Arabidopsis thaliana: one gene and its partners. The main gene of each other region encodes a partner of the protein of the gene in region 3 in a complex. Each region holds a gene or a part of one and is shown on either strand. Other genes may lie near its edges.

Region 1 (5,614 bases), on a different chromosome or scaffold from region 3:
GTTCAATAAAAAAAACAACTCAACGTTTATGCATGATGAATATTATACGTTCAAGATTTAGAAAAATAAAAAACAACTCAACGTTTATATATCGTGCAATGAAATCATCCAATTTAAAATATTTAATAATAGTCCTTCTGTATAACAACCACTAGTGTTCTTGTGGAATTTTTATTTTGTTTCAAAAAAAAACATGTTATTTTAAATTTCCAATTTTACTTTTCAAATAAACTTCCACGTTTATTCTTTAATTTATTCATATTTTTGTTTTAAATTTAACACTCACTCTGATTCATTATATAGGATATTTCAGAGATTTATTTAGGATGTTTTACTAATATCAATGCAATTTTTAAATATATTTTATTTGATTATTTGACTATTGGTTTGTATTTTGTATTTTTAATATCAAGAGAACAAATTTTATAATTAAAAATAAATTTCTTAAAGTGTGTGTTTTAATCTAAAACATCATATAATTTGAAATAGAGGAAATATCATCTAATAAAGTAATGGTATATTTGTATAGTTAATGATTTGTCTTTTTATTCGCGCAAAATGTGTCAATTATAAAATATAAAGAGGATATAATTTAGTTTAGAGTTTTAGACACGAGGACTATATATTGGAAAACAAAAAAGTAATGTAAACCATATAGATCATGGAATGAGTCATCCTATTAAACAGTTGTATTATATATTTATATTTTAGTCACTAACACATTAATAACTTAACGTCCATAACAAAATAAGATCCAAAACTCGATCTAGATCTATACGAGGCACTAAATGATCCATTGACTTAGGGCCGGCCGATTGGTTCGAGGACTCCTCATGCTGTAAACTTTTTTTTTGGACATACATGATATATTTTTAAGTCACGTTTTTATATTATATGTTCCACGCCCAATATAATATGTTCCAAACTAGGAAAAATAAGTAAGAATTAGTCAATGATCGAGATAATGCAATGAATCATCCTATTTATTAAATAGATTTACTAAACTATATATAATACAATGATCGAGATCGTGCCATGAAGCATCCTATATACTATAAAAATAGTCTTACTAAATACATACTCATATAGTTTAGTCATTCATTAGTCCAAACATTAAATGAGAGATCCTTTACTTGCTACCTGAATTTTTTCAGAATAAGGTATAACTTTTTTTCGAATTAGAAACTGATTTATGAAAGATTAAGAGTAATGTTCGTTAAACAAGTTAAAAAATATGTTTTTACAATTAAGTTTTGAAAAATAATAAAGTCTCCAATTATTTGAGTATCAAAAATAGGCTTGTTATTATTTAGGGTTTTCGTTGGTTTAAATGCAACGGGGTGTGGTTGTCATTGTGGAAGTTAATGGAAGTAATTGGTTGAGGTTTTAAACGTTATCGGACATTTTAAATGACTGGTTTACAGTTAAAAATATGTGTATTTACGGCAATTTTATGATTGGCTTAGCAGTAGATGCGACAGTGGTTTAAACCAAAAATTACCAAATAAATAATATACAATTATTAAATTATATAAAACACCAATATTATATATTTATATATATATGAACATAGTTAATTATCGAAACCATAGACAAAGTACATAAGAGTTATTCCGAAAAAGGTTTATTATGAAACACAAATAATCATATTGGGAGATTATGATATCCAAAATGGACTAATCAAATAATTAAATCCAAAATGGATGAAGAACTTATATTAGTTCCACGCACAATATAATATGTTCCAAACTAAGTAAGAACACAACGGTCGAGGTCATGCAATGAATCATCCTATATATAAAATAGTTTTACTAAACAATTATATTTTAGTCACTCGTTAACAAACAATCAAAATCGCTATATAAAGAACTCCGATTGGATGTAAACAAATCATCATAAACTTGTTCTCTTCCAGAAGAAACTAAAAACAAAAATGGCATTGCAAAAGTTTCCTCTCATGGGGCTGCTTTTGCTCCTAACCATCCTCGTCTCTGTGACAACAGCGGTTGATGATCCTGTTTGCCCGGCGACTTCCAAGCTAAGCCGAGCAAGTTTCCCTAATGGGTTTTTGTTTGGCACGGCTACTGCTGCGTTTCAGGTACAACAGATTTACTAAATCATAGTTCAAAAAACAAAAAGTAGTGTCGTTATTGTGTTTCTATCTGAATTCAAATCCATATTTTTAAAATATGGTTTTTTTTTATGTAAAAGTTGCTCAAAATATGTTATACCTATCATTTGAAATCATTTGTGCATGTGATATTCCTCAACTCATCAACTATTTTTTGTTATGTCATTAGGTCGAAGGTGCAATTAATGAAACTTGTCGTGGACCGGCTCTATGGGATATCTACTGTAGAAGAAATCCAGGTGAGTGTACTCGTATAATCTACATTCTCAATACAGTATGTTTAAATATTAAATTAAATTTAACTAATTAATATCAATACATAGCCATTAATTTTCTTAATTACTTTCAAATTACAGAGAGATGTAGTGGCGACCACGCCGATGTGGCCGTTGATTTCTTCCATCGTTATAAGGTATATATTAATATAAATTTAAGACAAACATAACTTATATTCTCGAGATGTTATTGAAATTTTGCCTTGTCTTAAAAATGTTTGTAGGAAGATATTCAGCTAATGAAGAATCTAAACACAGATGCATTCAGACTCTCAATCGCATGGTCAAGAATATTTCCTCGTGAGTATATGTCTGCAGATCTCTAGTTTGATTTTGTTTTAATCGAATTTGGTGAAATTAGATTTATGTGATTGTTATATAATACTAATAACCAATGAATTTAGATGATGTATATGTGAATGTTGAAGTATCAATAACTAATGAAACAAACTGTAATGCTTTATTAGATGGGAGAAAGGAGAAGGGAGTGAGTCAAGCTGGTGTGCAATTCTACCACGAGCTCATCGATGAACTCCTTAAAAATGGTTATATACATATAAAATACCTAGTTCACAAAAATACAAGTAATATAGTATCCTTATTTAACATTTCTTTCTATTTTACGTCATAAATAGGTATAGTTCCGTTTGTGACTGTTTTCCATTGGGACACTCCACAAGATTTGGAAGACGAATATGGCGGTTTCTTAAGCCAAAACATTGTGTATGTTTTTGTAAATTAAACAAAATACATTTAGTTAAGTTTATATGGAAATTATTAATTTGGTATCTTTTTTTTTTGCAAAAATACAGGAAAGATTTTCGAGAATATGCAGATTATGTTTTCACTGAATACGGTGGAAAAGTGAAAAACTGGATCACTTTCAACGAGCCATGGGTCTTTGCTCACGCAGGTTACGACTTAGGAAAGAAAGCACCAGGACGTTGTTCTCGCTACGTTCCAGGTTGCGAAGACCGAGAGGGACAATCTGGTAAAGAGGCTTATCTAGTCAGTCACAATCTCCTCAACGCTCACGCAGAAGCTGTTGAAGTTTTCCGCCAAAAGGTAGTTTACATTAGATATAAATCATAATTAATTATCAGGTCACATTAGATATAAATCACAATTAATTATCAGGTTTCGAATCTTAAAATAGGTTGTTTTGTGTTGTGTTTATGGACATAGGTTAAAGGTGGGAAAATCGGAATCGCACATAGTCCGGCTTGGTTCGAACCACATGATCTTAAAGATTCAAATGACGCTCCAACTGTTAGCCGTGTACTTGACTTTATGTTGGGATGGTAAGTATATATTATGTTAGAAAATGGTTTCTCGTATATAATTTCATAAAAATTAATGTAGTTATTAATTTTGTGTAGGCATCTGGAGCCAACTACTTCGGGAGATTATCCACAAATCATGAAAGACCTTCTTGGTTACAGATTGCCTCAATTTACTGCTGCACAAAAAGCAAAATTGAAAGATTCGACCGATTTCGTAGGGCTTAACTACTATACTTCGACATTTTCAAATTATAATGAGAAGCCAGATCCGTCTAAACCAAGTTGGAAGCAAGATTCTCTTGTTTCCTGGGAACGTAAGTTTTTTTTTGTTTTCCGTACATGAAACCAAACCAAGAAACTAAAGATAAAAGGTTTTATAATACTAATTGATATGCATACATTTTCACTTTTTATTTTTCAGCTAAGAATGTAGATCACAGCGCCATTGGTAGCATGGTAAGCGTTTGATTAAACTAGTCCTAGTTTGTGATTGTTAATTTTTGTCTACGACATAACATTTTCACCATTGCTTTATTTCAGCCTCTTACTGCTGCATTGCCCGTCTACGCTAAAGGATTTAGAAAGCTTTTAAAGTACATCAAGGACAAATACGCAAACCCGGAGATTATGATAATGGAAAATGGTAACTCGAGATTTATTGTTATATTTGTGTGTTGATTTAATCTTAACTCTTAAGAGTAATATACTGATCATTATAATGTTGTTTTTTCTAGGATATGGAGATAAACTTGGGACCACAGATTCGGTTGACGTTGGTACTGCTGATCATAACAGGAAATATTATCTTCAGAGGCATCTTCTGGCTATGAACGAGGCTATTTGGTAAGCCTTTTATTATTTGATAGATTGACTAACGATTCTATTGAATGGTCTAATTAAGAACATAATTGTGTTTGTGCAGCATCGATAAGGTGAGAGTTACGGGATACTTTGTATGGTCATTGTTGGATAACTTCGAATGGCAAGATGGTTACAAAAACAGATTCGGACTCTATTACGTCGATTTCAAAAATAACCTCACACGTTATGAGAAAGAATCAGCCAAGTATTACAAAGATTTCCTCGCTCAAGGTGTTCGTCCATCCGCACTCAAGAGGGATGAGCTTTAAGTTATATTTTGAGGATTTCGTTTTCTATTCGATGTTTTTCCTATGTTTTAGTTTGTGATTGACCACGCACGATTCATGAGTCGTGGTTAATAATAATAAAAGTGTTTCGTTTTCCTTCAATCTCTAGCTTATTCGACAAGATCAAGAAGGCTTTAGTTTTAATGACGTTATCCTTTTTGAGAATCAATATGTGAAGTTAAATATGTTTTACCTTCCAAACTTGAAGAAAAATTGAATCATACAACCTTAACATTAAAAAATTTATGAGTTACAAAATGATGTAAGAAAATATCATTAGTTTTAGAAAATTAAAAATACGAATTTACCTCTATACATAGAAATAGATTAGGAAATAATTTGACGTCGTCTTAACAACTAAGTACAAACATTTCAAAAACTAACAACTTAAACGTTGGCGATGAAATAAACAATGGCAATTCATTTTCCCAAACAGTTCTAATATTTTATTTTTGAAAGTCACTAGTTTAGATTAAAAAACAGGACGACCAGCAAGAGAAGATATCTCTTTTTCACTCATTTGGCCAAGCGTATTTTCTATATACCTTAAGGAAATAAAATCCATGCATGATGCAACCAAATAAATCCACCATGCAATACCAACATCATTCATTACTTTGGAAATTCATATTTCATTCTTAGCAAGCAAAAAAAAACAAAAAAAAACAATCAAACGTATGTGTTAATAATGAAATCATCACATTCTATCTTACTAGTAGTCACTTATCAAAAACGATTTATGTAAATAGTGATTTTCAAGATTTTTTTTTTAAAAGC
Region 2 (4,783 bases), on a different chromosome or scaffold from region 3:
GCTCACTATTTTCCATCTCTATACCATGAACGAGCTCTTGGAATTTGAAATGCGCTGTTATTAATTTGTTGAGATTTAAAATAATAATGTAACCTCAACTCTGTTTTTTCCATAAGAAAAATCTCAATGAGTAACGTGATAAACCTGACAATATGAACCAAAGCGTGTCCAATGACCTGCTTTGTGCTCAGATTAGACAAGTTTCGGGCCACATGCACTCCATTAGAACAAAATGATAAATTTTGGTGGAATCAATTTAAGAAGGTAGTGGATTCAATTTGAGACCTTTTTTACCCTCTTTTTTTGTTTGCAATTATTCTTGCAAGGTAATATTCGAAATGATTGGCAACAAAGAAAATAAAAAGTAGAAATTATAAAGTTCCAGAAAAGATAAGTTTATACATCTGGCTTTGGGGCCGGCTATATTTACAGTTAATTTTCATATGAAATAAAACCAAAAATCATATATATAGATAATAGATGAACCAAACAAATGAGGCGTTCTTCATATAAAACTTCATCTTCACGTAAGCAAATGTGTTTTATTTTTATCTAGTTTCTGCACTCTTTTAGAAACAAAATTGTTCACCTTTCTGTCGTTCTAATGATTCCAATCAAATTGATAATTACTAGAACTTACAAACGAATAAGGACCAACTCTTCTGTATTTGATATAGACACTCTCTCAAAACTTAATCTTCTCTAATCTTCACTGTAAATCTTAAGGAACAACTCTCCACAAGTTTTTATAATTTATATATACATAACTAAGCTATTACCTATACTATTAAGATTGTGTCAACGCAAAATTGAGTTATTCTTTCTTATTTAAATTTGAACTATTAAAAATATGTAAATAATTAACGAAAATCTTTGTCAAAACACTATTAAGAAAATAATTTCAAAAATTAACATGATGATAAAATATAGATTGTTAATTGTTTTTTTTAATTGTTTTCAAGTAATTTAATCAATAATATGATGAGGATGATTAAGGAAATTACTATAATTTATCTTTTAAAGAATATCTTAGCATAGGTATGAGTTGTTTTTGCAAAATTTTAATAATTGATTTAAGTTATCTAAACGTTATTAAAATTATTATCCAAATTATCTATAATTATCCGAACATATTCGTCTCTTGTCTATTCTGGTAGTGATATTTTATGTATCTATATTATTCATATATCGTATCAGTATAATCTGACTTATTTAAAAATATCTATTTGATATGTATTTTGATATTAAAAATATTTTAATTCGAGTTGTGTACTCGTAAATTATCCAAAAGTTTTAGCAGAAATAAACATATCTACGTATATGTTGGTGTTGAAATTTTTTTGTTGAATTTGGCTAGTCAGCAAAATTTAGTTTTATGCAAATGGTTACTGCAGAAATTACTGAATCTGGTTTAGTGTTACCATTTACACCCTATATTTCCGTGAAATTTGTATGTTTAATTCTACTTCTTGCCTCTAAATGCACGATCTTTTCAGCACTTCGAAGAGGTTAAAGTGACTTTTACCCGATGAGAAGGGAATTGTGTGGCAGATAGAATTGCTAGGGAATCTCTTTCTTTTCTGAATTATGATCCCAAATTGTATTCTATATTGCCGGATTGGGTTAAAGCTTATGTGTATTCAGACTCTTGTGTAATTGTAAGTTGTTGTTGAACCAAAAAAAAAAAAGCACGATCTTTCTTGGTACTCGTAGTAACAATAGATATTTTGTTGAGAATTAAAAATAAAGTAGAAGAGAAACCAGTAATGCGTCAGACGTGATTAAGCGAACTATATAATATAATTGATCGATAATCGTTTGCTAGTGCGTTAAATAGGTGTATAGTAAAATGAACCTCGCGCTACACGTTATTATTTGTATAGTAAAATGAACTATTATTTTCATTGCCAAATTGTAGTACTTGCAATATAAATATAACGAATCGGTCTACGAGCTAAGGCACAAAAGCAATCTTCTTCTCTTTTCACAGTTCTGTTTCTCCCTCTCTCTAAATGATGGCAAACAACTGTAATTTAGTCAGTGTTCTATGTGTAATTTTGGTATTGACCCTCTTTCACAACCCCATCACTGTCGCCGGACAGAATAGTCCGGTGGTCGCCTTGTTCACCTTTGGTGACTCCAACTTCGACGCCGGAAACAAACAGACTCTCACCAAAACCTTAGTCGCTCAAGGTTTCTGGCCGTACGGAAAATCTCGAGATGATCCCAACGGCAAATTCTCCGACGGCCTCATCACTCCGGACTTCCTCGGTACGACTTCTTTTCTAATCGAATCCTACTCTAATCTTTAAAACATTAAGTATGTTAAAAATAGTATGATTACGTAAAAATAATCATAAACAGTAGTATTTATAAATGCATTTTAAGTATGCTACTAGTGAATTACTTAAAAAATAGTAAATAGTATGATTAAAAAAAAGATTATAAATGCATTGGTTCAGCGGCTATTCACTTTTCGGGACACATTCTATGAAATTTTATTTATTATTTTCGTCAACAGATTCGGAGATGTAGTACAAGGAATGATTTGATATTATATGAAAAACTAAAATATTTTTAAAATACAAAATGCAGCTAAATTCATGAAGATTCCGCTCGCGATCGCGCCGGCGCTTCAACCGAACGTCAATGTCTCACGTGGAGCTAGTTTCGCCGTCGAAGGTGCTACTCTACTCGGAGCTCCGGTGGAATCTGTAAGTAAACTTAATTTCTTATTATATAAGAGTCATGTATATATCTATAGTCAACACCTAATTCAAAGAAAATCAATTATATCTGTCTATTATTGACCCGGTCATACTAAGCGGGATTCTTTTTGTTTTACTTCACAGAAAAGCATGTGACTTAATATCAATAAGCTTTACTTTAATTGCACTTATAATATTGGTTTAATTTTTGTCTTTTTCTCTTTTTTGGTTCTTTAGATGACTCTGAATCAACAAGTGAAAAAATTCAATCAAATGAAAGCAGCAAATTGGAACGATGATTTCGTGGCAAAGTCAGTATTTATGATATACATTGGTGCAAACGATTACTTAAATTTCACCAAGAACAACCCTACCGCTGATGCATCTGCTCAACAAGCTTTTGTTACTTCCGTGACCAACAAGTTAAAGAACGATATTAGCGCGTTGTATTCATCAGGAGCGAGTAAATTCGTGATCCAAACCTTAGCTCCATTGGGTTGCTTACCCATCGTCAGACAAGAATACAACACCGGGATGGATCAATGCTATGAGAAACTCAACGATTTGGCTAAACAACACAACGAAAAAATTGGACCGATGTTGAACGAAATGGCTAGAAACTCTCCTGCATCAGCTCCTTTCCAATTCACCGTCTTTGATTTCTACAATGCCGTTCTTACTAGGACGCAGAGGAACCAAAACTTCCGTGAGTTGGTTAATTATCATGGTTTAATTTCATTTGTTTTAGTTTTATAACTTCTAATACCAAGTCATTAATATTTGTCATTCTTAGGGTTTTTCGTCACGAACGCATCGTGCTGCGGAGTTGGATCTCACGATGCTTATGGTTGCGGTTTACCTAACGTGCATTCGAAGCTATGTGAGTACCAACGGTCTTTCCTATTCTTCGACGGACGTCACAACTCCGAGAAGGCGCAAGAAATGTTTGCCCATCTTCTTTTTGGAGCCGATACAAATGTTGTCCAACCGATGAACGTCCGTGAGCTTACTGTTTACCCAGTCGATGAACCCATGCGTGAATTTTGGGTGCCTCCAACGCCAGCTACTGTCCACGCCAGCGACTCTAGCTCGTCCACTAGCCGCGGTTACGAGTATTACTGAGTCTTTTTAAAACTCAATCTTTAGGGTCAATCAGGTTTTCTACAATGGTCATGAGTTAATTTATAACCGAATCAAAATCGGAATCTTGATGTTTTTGATTTGCAATGTTTTCCTGTTTCTCTAGTGAGTTTTTCTCTATAATAAAAGATTGATCTTATCAACTCTTTCCACGTCCTGGAATTTATCGAGAGTTCATTAGTCTATCGATTTACTCTAATCTATTCGATATCTTATATTCCTTCTGTTCATTTTTGTTTGATTTTTTAGAAAAAACATAAATATTAAGAAAATATATTAAATGTTGCTTTTAAATGTATTGTTTTTTGTGATTTACAATTTTCAATAACTCTAAACCAATGATATTTACTAATTTGTATTGAAGTTTACAATTTATCAATTATAACTAATAACTATTGTATTAAAAATCTAAAAAATCAATATTTTTGAAATAATTTTTTTTCTAAACAATTAAACAAAAAGAAACAGAGTAAGTATAAATTATGTAAAAATATATGACTGATTCGTTTTATGACACCGAATTAAAATAATAAGCTAATTCCTTTTGGTTTCTTTTGACCCAACAATAAGCTAATTATAATTATAAAACGAATATGATAAAGTATCTTTTACCAGCTGGGAAAATATAATACTCCCAAACTGAAAATAAATATCATTACCAGTTGGGATTATTTTATTACAGTAAATACATATAGTGGGCATTAGTGATCTGATTTTGTGGATCATAAGCGACAGGAAAATAAAAATATAATAAGACCAAACAAATCTCATCCGCTAAATCTGGTCATAAGTTTAAGTATTTTTTTTCTATTTAAATAAGAAAAAAATGACGCTAAATCTGGACATAAGTTAAAACATACAAATTGAAATAGTATAATTTAAAAATCTCAATAATTGAAGCAACACACCGATCTTGACTTTATCTCTCCTTTATC
Region 3 (3,966 bases):
ATGATGACTTCTTTTAAGCTTAAAAAATACGTTATCACACTTTGAGTTTGAGCACGTCGAGCCTACTACACTCGTGAGACGTGTGTGGATCAGATCAGATCAGATCTCCTCCTTACGCGGCTGATCCAATATAAAAATATTGTAAATCAATTAGAAAGATGGAAAAATCCAAGATTAATATATTGCAAACTGAATTTCAAAAAGGGAAAATTCCAAGATTAGCATTACATGGGCTGGATCAGTTGATTGGTAAGGCCTAAATGCCAAATCACTAAAAGTTAGGACGCAATCTATCCCAGGTTTGCCAAAGCCGAGCCAAATTAATACATTCCAACAATCCTTTTTTCATATACTTTCATTTTTTTATCAGTATGATCATGACCACCCAATTAACCAATTTTTACTTACAAAACCTAATACTATTTTCAAAAAACTTTTATTTATACCTAAACAATAATGAACTTTAATCTATGATTATATGATCTATAGTCCCCATGTAATAATTGGACTTCATTTAAACATATTAAACATATATTCGCGGGTCTTTACCTAAAACAAAATTAATTCAGTAAAATGTTAATCTGAATACGCTAAACACACTTGCAGTAACTTAATTTAGTATGGATCGAACGTTGTTCACGATGGGACTTAATGTGCAATTTATAGGGATGGAATCAACCACCTTTATTCAAATCTATCATACGTAACATTATATAAAGACCAACATCACAAAAGAGAACGCTTAAAAACATTTAAACATAGATAGGCATAACCATCATAGGTATAACAAGTTATTTTCAAGAGATCACATTAACAAGTTCGATGGAAGCGAAGGAGGTAGCTGTAATGTGATCAGTTGGTGAGTGGCATGACATGGACTCCAAACTGATGAAGCAACTCACTGGCTTTTCCATGGAAGCCAACGATCTTGTGCCCTTCCTCTTTAAGTTCGAAGGCTGTGCCAGCTTCAAGTCCAAAGGGAGCAGACGTTTGTTTATTAGTCTTGAACCTAAGCATAGTTATGATTAGGCCATCACTCCCAAAGATTTTATCATAGGTGCCTTCAACTGCGGTGATGTATTCACTTGGATAGTCAATCTCAAACTGCAATTAAAGGATTTTAAATCATATAGATCAATCTGCTTACTGTCAATTAGTTTTAAGAAAATGAAAAGATACAACATATTTTGAATTTTGATAGCAAAAACAAAAAATACCTCCTCGAATCCGAGTAAAGTAGGCTTTCCATGTTCACCTCCTACGATATTCTCCGCGCCTTTGTTGTACTCAAACTTAACGGCTGATATCCCATCTTGGCCTTGTCCTACGTACACCTTCTTGACACCATCGTACGCACCGTCGTCCCATGCAGTTCCTTCATCACCACCAATTGCAGATAGTTTTTTGGCAGGAGTCACAGGAGTTGTGGTTGTAGCAAAATATGCTCCAAGAGCATATAAAGCTTCACCAGCGCGTCCATGGAAGCCAACAAGTTTACCACCGTTTTTGTCCTTGAGTACAAACTTCTTTTGCGTTTCCAATCCATAGGGTGGAGATGTTTTTCCCTTGAATGTATTGAAGGTAATAGATGTGATGATGTCAGAGTCTTGGCCAAACACGTTGTCGTAGGTCACTTGCACTGCTACTATGTAGTCGTCTGCATCAACCTCAAACTGCAATGATCGAAAAGATACCTCTCGTGAGTAGAGATGTTGTATAGATTAACTCAATCTAGACCGTATTAGGTGTGAATTGGTCTAGTCTTAATTGGTTCTCATTTTACAAAGCTTTAAAACTGATCCGAACAAGGCTAATAAGTTAAACTCAAAGAGAGTGGTAGCAAACACCACTACATACCGTTTCAAATCCAAGTAACGTTTTCTTTCCGTGTTCACCTCCTTCAACATCCTGAGAGTCCTTCGCATACACGACGTTGATAGATGACACACCATCTTGGCCTTGCCCTACATGCACCTTTCTAACGCCATCGTGGACACCATCATCCCATGAAGCTCCTCCGGCGCCACCCCCTGCTTCCACTTTTTGAGCCATCTTTTTGAATATTAATTAGTTACCTGTACGTATTAGTAGCGTACACGATTAGTTTTATTAACCAAACTCTACAAAACTATTATCAGACGAGAGACTGAGAATTTACCTGAGGAGAGAGGGAACGAGTTATTGATATGCATTACAATGACCTTCATGCGTATTTATTGATTATTTTTATTTCTGGATAAAATGTGTAATTATTGATATCATTGAATGTAGGCCACTAATTAATCTATAGAAATGTTAATATAATCTCGTGATCCACGAGTCATTAAAATATTAGAATGTTGTGAATATGAAGCAAATAAGTTGAATTGGAGTAGTTGATATTACTGATCTGTAGTTTTTTTTCCCTTTTTTTCCTTTGCTCACATAATACATGTTTTTCTCAACAATAGTTGTTGATCAAAAAAAAAAAAAAATCAACAATAGTTACAATTTTTGAAACCTGGTTAGATTTTACCCGTTATCCAATTGCTCATATGGTTTATATATATATATATATGTGTGTTTTAATATTATTTGATCATTACATAATTAACATATTATATTTCCATATATATTCTTAAGAAGAAAAATATGTGTTTGAAAAAAAAAAAAAATTAAACATACTGTATAATAAATTAAATCTAGATACTAAGTGGAGTGTACCTCCTTCGAAACGGACTGCGCGTAGTCTGGTGTTGGATTTTGATCAAAATGACCAATTCTCCAATTATGGCGAAGTTTTCTTGTTTCTCACTTTAAATAATGCTAAAGTCTTAAAGATAATTGTTTCCATCATACACTAGATGCCGAGATACTGAGTATGAATATAAGCTTTTCTCCTAATGTGCAACTGATATGTATAATAATCACCCACTTTTATTAAAGCCAATCACATATAATATTACAGGCATAACAACTTCACAAAACACCATACTTAAAGACACTTAAAACATAGATAAACAGAACAAGAAAAATTAGAAAACTTAAAACTTAATGAAGATATCACACGTGACAAACTTGGTGGTATAGAAGAGACATATATATATATATATATATGTGATGATCAGTTGGTGACAGGAAGGATATGGACTCCAAACTGATGAAGCACCGCACTTACTTTTCCATGAAACCCGACGATCTTGCAACCTTCTTCTTTGAGTTCGAAGGCTGTGCCAGCTTCAATTCCAAAGGGAGGAGACGTTTTCTTATTAGTTTTGAACCTAAGCATATTTATGACTTCAGTCTCAAAACCAAATATTTTGTCATATGTGCCTTCAACTGCAGTAATATATTCACTTGGATAGTCAAGTTGGAACTGCAATTGATGGAAACCAAATAAAACAATTGAGTTAGTTAAAATATTTTATATCAAAAATGGAGATATTCAACACTAGCTAATATAAAATATGCATGATTTTATCCACGAAAGTTTATGTGGATTCCCTTACCCAAGCATATTTTTGTGTAAGATATTCATATCATTTTGTAAAAACATTTCACATTCAACCACAAGAGAAGAAAGCAAGAAGTATTATACCTCTTCAAATCCGAGTAGAGTATCATTTCCATGTTCATCTCCTACAATATCCTCGGCGCCCTTATCGTACACAAACTTCACGGCCGATATACCATCTTGGGCTTGCCCTATATACACTTTCTTAACACCATCGAAAGCACCATCATCCCAGGCAGTTCCTTCGTCACCACCAACAGCCGGTAGTTTCTTGGCAGGAGTCAAAGGAGTTGTGGTTGTAGTAAAATACGCTCCAAGAGCATATAGAATTTCGCCAGCGCGTCCATGGAACCCAACAAGTTTGCCACCGTTCTTTTCCTTGAGTACAAACTTATTTTCGGTATCTAATCCGTAGGGTGGCGAGGTTTTTCCCTTGAATGTAGAGAAGGTTATGGATGTGATGATGTCGGAGT
Region 4 (4,386 bases), on a different chromosome or scaffold from region 3:
AAAGGTCTCAAATTGAATCCACTACCTTCTTAAATTGATTCCACCAAAATTTATCATTTTGTTCTAATGGAGTGCATGTGGCCCGAAACTTGTCTAATCTGAGCACAAAGCAGGTCATTGGACACGCTTTGGTTCATATTGTCAGGTTTATCACGTTACTCATTGAGATTTTTCTTATGGAAAAAACAGAGTTGAGGTTACATTATTATTTTAAATCTCAACAAATTAATAACAGCGCATTTCAAATTCCAAGAGCTCGTTCATGGTATAGAGATGGAAAATAGTGAGCTCAAGAACTAAACGAGTTAGATAGATTCACTAGCATCGACGTCGACGTCATGGACTAACGATGATATTCTCATCCATTGGATCCTCCCAAAACTCACGCATAGGCTCATTAACAGGATACACAATGAGCTCACGAACATTCATAGGTTGGATAACATTTGGGTCCGCTCCAAAAGATAAGATGATGAGAAAACGCTTCTTGTGCCTTCTTTTTTTAATTATGGAATTACCTTTTAATATGTGGTTGACAAAAAAAAGAAATAAATTTATGTAAAAGTTTTGTTTCTTTTAAATAAAAGATTTGCAAGGGGTAAGAGTTGCAGAGATCAATCTTTTATTATGGAGGAAAACTCACTAGAGAAACATGAAAACATTGGAAATTAAAACTACTCAAGATTCCGATATTGATCCAGTTATAATTTGACTCATAACCCTTATAGAAACCCCGATCGATCCCTAAATATTGATTTTAGAGACTCAGTAATACTCGTAACCGCGGCTCTCCCTGAGTTGAACGGTGGCTGACGTTGGGGGCACCCAAGACTCACGCATAGGTTCATCGGCAGGGTAAACGACAAGCTCACGGATGTTCATCGGTTGGATAACATTTGTATCGGCTCCAAAAAGAAGATGACCAAACATCTCTTGCGCCTTCTCAGTGTTGTGACGTCCGTCGAAGAATAGGTAAGACCGTTGGTACTCGCATAGCCTCGAATGTACGTTAGGAAAACCGCAACCATAAGCATCATGTGTCCCAACTCCGCAGCACGATGCGTTCGTAACGAAAAATCCTAAGAATGGCAAATATTAAACACATGGTATTAGAAGTTATAAAAAAATTTAAAAATGAAATTAAACCATGATAATTAACCAACTCACGGAAGTTTTGGTTCCTCTGCGTCCTAGTAAGAATCGCGTTGTAGAAATCAAAGACGGTGAATTGGAAAGGAGCTGATGCAGGAGCTGTTCTAGCCAATTCGTTCAACATCGGTCCAATTTTTTCGTTGTGTTGTTTAGCCAAATCGTTGAGTTTCTCATAGCATTGATCCATCCCGGTGTTGAACTCTTGTCTGACGATGGGTAAGCAACCCAATGGAGCTAGGGTTTGGATCACAAATTTACTCGCTCCTGATGAATACAACAAGCTGATATCGTTCTTTAACTTGTTGGTCACGGAAGTGACAAAAGCTTGTTGAGTAGATGCATCGGCGTTAGGGTTGTTCTTGGTGAAATTCAAGTAATCGTTTGCACCAATGTATATCATAAACACTGACTTCTTCACGAAATCATCATTCCAATTTGCTGCTTTCATTTGATTGAACTTTCTCACTTGTTGATTCAGAGTCAACTAAAAAAACAAAAAAAGACAAAAAGACAAAATTATAATTGCAGTTAAAGTCAGATGTCTTTAATAAAACAAAAATATGCCGTTTAGTATGATCCAGGCTAGTCCATAAGACAGGTCAAGCACATGCTTTAGACCAGAAGATATATACTAAATCATTCGCCAAAAAAAATAAAAACAGTAATTTGGTAAAACCTTTAATATATTTTATATCATTAAGAAGGCCATCTTCCAATTGTGCTAAGGCCACCTGAAGGTAAATTAAGGACCGGCTATGTATGACCGGGTCAATAAAAGACAGACATGGTTCATTTATTTTGAATAAGATGATTATAGTAAGAAATTAAGTTGACTTACAGATTCCACCGGAGCTCCGAGTAGAGTAGCATCAGCGACGGCGAAACTAGCTCCACGTGAGACATTGACGTTCGGTTGAAGGGCCGGCGGGATCACGATCGGAATCCTCATGAATTTAGCTGCATTTTGTACATTAAATATATTAGGTTTTCATATAATACAAATATAATCTCCGAATCTGTTAACGAAAAAAAATCAAAAAAAAATCCATGTGTTTCGAAAAGTGAATACCAGCTGAACCTTTTTTATTTTTAAAATATTTTAACCGTTATTTTTAGTAATTAACTAATATCCAACACTCGTCATTTGTACTAACGTTTTAAATGATAAAAAATATCATTTTGCATGTTTTATGTTTTGTAGAATTCGGATTAAGATCTTTCAGTTATACAAACAAAAAAATGTCGCACCGAGGAAGTCTGGAGCGATGAGGCCGTCGGAGAATTTGCCGTTGGGATCATCTCGGGATTTTCCATACGGCCAGAAAGTTTGAGGGAGTAAGGTTTTGGTGAGAGTCTGTTTGTTTCCGGCGTCGAAGTTGGAGTCACCAAAGGTGAACAAGCCCACCGCCGGAATATTCTGCCCGGCGACGGTGATGGGTTTGTTAAAGAGGGTCAATACCAAAAATACACATAGAACACTGACTAAATTACAGTTTTTTGCCATCATTTAGAGAGTATACAGAGAGAGAGAAAGTGAAACAGAACAGTAAATGAGTAGAAGATTGCTTTTGTGTCTTAGCTCGTAGACCGATACGTTATATTTATATTGTAAATACTACACAATTTGGCAACTGAATTTTTTTTATCAAAAAGATTGTTTTTAAGAAAAAAGCAATTTAGCAATTGAAAAATATTGTTATTTAAATATGAATATATGATAACGTGTTGCTCGAGGTTCATTTTTTTCTTTTTTCTACACACCTAGTTAATGCACAACTGGTATCCCATTTCTATTTTATTTATTCTTAATTTTCAAGATACATTTATTGTTACTAGTATCAAGAAGATCGATCATGCATTGAGGGCAGAAGAAGATTTAAATGCATATTCCTATATTTCAATAAAATATATAAAAAAACATGTCAAATGGAACCTCTCACCTATGAAAACGTAACTAAGAAAATACTCCATGCATTTCAGATCAAGTGTTCGTTTTTTTTAAATACTACAAACTAAAAAAAAATTGTTTTACTATGATTAATTCATTCTAGTTAACACATTAAAACAGTATAAATAAAATTTGGAACTTTAACCAAAATTTTATATTAAAACCTAAAACAACACTTATTATAAAATAATTTTGGAACAGTTAAAAATTGAAACCATTTCCACTATTTCATTACAACAAGAATTGCAAAAAAAAACAAAAAAAAAAGTAAATAAAATGACTCAAGTGAGTTATGTAATTTGAAATCCATAAGTCTTAAATGATTCCACCAAATTCAATCATTTCGTTCTAATGAGTGCGTATGGCCCGAAACTTGTCTAATATGAGCACAAAGCAGGTCATATATATGCTTTGGTTATATTCTCAGGTCTATCAAATTACCCATTAATTGATTATTTTTTTCTTATGAAAATAAGCAGAGTTGAGGATTTAAACAGTATTAATTATTTTACTTCGCAACTAATTAAGAACAATACATTACAAATTCCAAGAGCTCGTACGTGATCTAGAGATAGAAAATAGTGAGCTCAAGAACTAAACGAGGTAGACAGATCCACTAGTATTGGACTAACGATAACTTCTCATCCATTGGATCCTCCCAAAACTCACGCATAGGCTCATTAACAGGATACACCATGAGCTCACGAACATTCATAGGTTGGATAACATTTGGGTCAGCTCCAAAGATAAGATGAGCAAACGCTTCTTGTGCTTTCTCTGTGTTATGACGTGCGTCGAAGTAAAGGTAGGATCTTTGATATTCGCATAACTTCGAGTGCACGTTAGGTAAACCACAACCATATGCATAATGCGTCCCAACACCGCAACACGATATATTCGTCACGGAAAACCCTAATTAGTCATAACAACAAGTATTATTAAATGTTTGCTTCAAAGTAAAAGCATATAACGATATTAATGATAGTGTGGAACTTTGAATGGCGAATTGTAACTCACGGTAGTTCATGTTTCTTTGTGTCCTGCGAAGAATAACGTTGTAGAAATCGAAAACGGTGAATTGGAAATCCGGTTTAGTTTCCGCCATTTCGTTCAAAATCGGTCCAATTTTAGCGTTGTGTTGTTTGGCCAAATCATTGAGTTTCTCGTAACAATTGTTACCGGTTTTAAATTCTTGTCTTGCGATCGGTAAACAACCTAATGGCGCTAGCAAGTGTACGACGAATTTACTAGCTCCAGATGAATACAACAACTGCAATTAATCATTA

The links.
Region 1: JAL33 (region 3) and BGLU21 share a complex: the UniProt entries of both Arabidopsis thaliana proteins name them as parts of the PYK10 complex.
Region 2: JAL33 (region 3) and GLL22 share a complex: the UniProt entries of both Arabidopsis thaliana proteins name them as parts of the PYK10 complex.
Region 4: JAL33 (region 3) and AT1G54010 share a complex: the UniProt entries of both Arabidopsis thaliana proteins name them as parts of the PYK10 complex.

Annotation. Positions count from the first base shown.
Region 1 is NC_003070.9:24,699,315-24,704,928, reverse strand, and holds BGLU21 (Glycosyl hydrolase superfamily protein), read left to right. Parts: upstream 1-1,762; 5' UTR 1,763-1,933; coding exon 1,934-2,098; intron 2,099-2,300; coding exon 2,301-2,370; intron 2,371-2,487; coding exon 2,488-2,543; intron 2,544-2,630; coding exon 2,631-2,706; intron 2,707-2,873; coding exon 2,874-2,951; intron 2,952-3,041; coding exon 3,042-3,129; intron 3,130-3,218; coding exon 3,219-3,471; intron 3,472-3,591; coding exon 3,592-3,707; intron 3,708-3,785; coding exon 3,786-4,003; intron 4,004-4,110; coding exon 4,111-4,145; intron 4,146-4,229; coding exon 4,230-4,332; intron 4,333-4,423; coding exon 4,424-4,532; intron 4,533-4,611; coding exon 4,612-4,819; 3' UTR 4,820-5,061; downstream 5,062-5,614. UniProt on the Arabidopsis thaliana protein: Beta-D-glucosidase active on scopolin >> esculin >> 4-MU-glucoside > DIMBOA-glucoside. No activity with pNP-glucoside, oNP-glucoside and sinigrin as substrates.
Region 2 is NC_003070.9:20,153,595-20,158,377, reverse strand, and holds GLL22 (GDSL-like Lipase/Acylhydrolase superfamily protein), read left to right. Parts: upstream 1-1,857; 5' UTR 1,858-2,012; coding exon 2,013-2,271; intron 2,272-2,595; coding exon 2,596-2,714; intron 2,715-2,945; coding exon 2,946-3,414; intron 3,415-3,501; coding exon 3,502-3,830; 3' UTR 3,831-4,224; downstream 4,225-4,783.
Region 3 is NC_003074.8:5,586,679-5,590,644, reverse strand, and holds JAL33 (Mannose-binding lectin superfamily protein), read right to left. Parts: upstream 2,354-3,966; 5' UTR 2,159-2,353; exon of another isoform or gene 2,076-2,158; 5' UTR 2,053-2,075; coding exon 1,858-2,052; intron 1,674-1,857; coding exon 1,218-1,673; intron 1,105-1,217; coding exon 853-1,104; 3' UTR 560-852; downstream 1-559. Other genes in the region: MLP-300B (myrosinase-binding protein-like protein-300B), read right to left, coding at 3,104-3,355, 3,578-3,966. UniProt on the Arabidopsis thaliana protein: Sugar-binding protein showing significant affinity for (Glc alpha(1-4)Glc)(3) maltohexaose, (Glc alpha(1-6)Glc)(3) isomaltohexaose, Gal alpha(1-4)Gal beta(1-4)Glc, GalNAc alpha(1-3)(Fuc alpha(1-2)) and Gal beta(1-3)(Fuc alpha(1-4))GlcNAc beta(1-3)Gal beta(1-4)Glc.
Region 4 is NC_003070.9:20,158,089-20,162,474, forward strand, and holds AT1G54010 (GDSL-like Lipase/Acylhydrolase superfamily protein), read right to left. Parts: upstream 2,777-4,386; 5' UTR 2,660-2,776; coding exon 2,401-2,659; intron 2,110-2,400; coding exon 1,991-2,109; intron 1,637-1,990; coding exon 1,168-1,636; intron 1,080-1,167; coding exon 766-1,079; 3' UTR 501-765; downstream 1-500. Other genes in the region: AT1G54020 (GDSL-like Lipase/Acylhydrolase superfamily protein), read right to left, coding at 3,717-4,012, 4,118-4,370. UniProt on the Arabidopsis thaliana protein: Involved in the control of the PYK10 complex size and possibly substrate specificity. May be exported from the endoplasmic reticulum upon interaction with MVP1.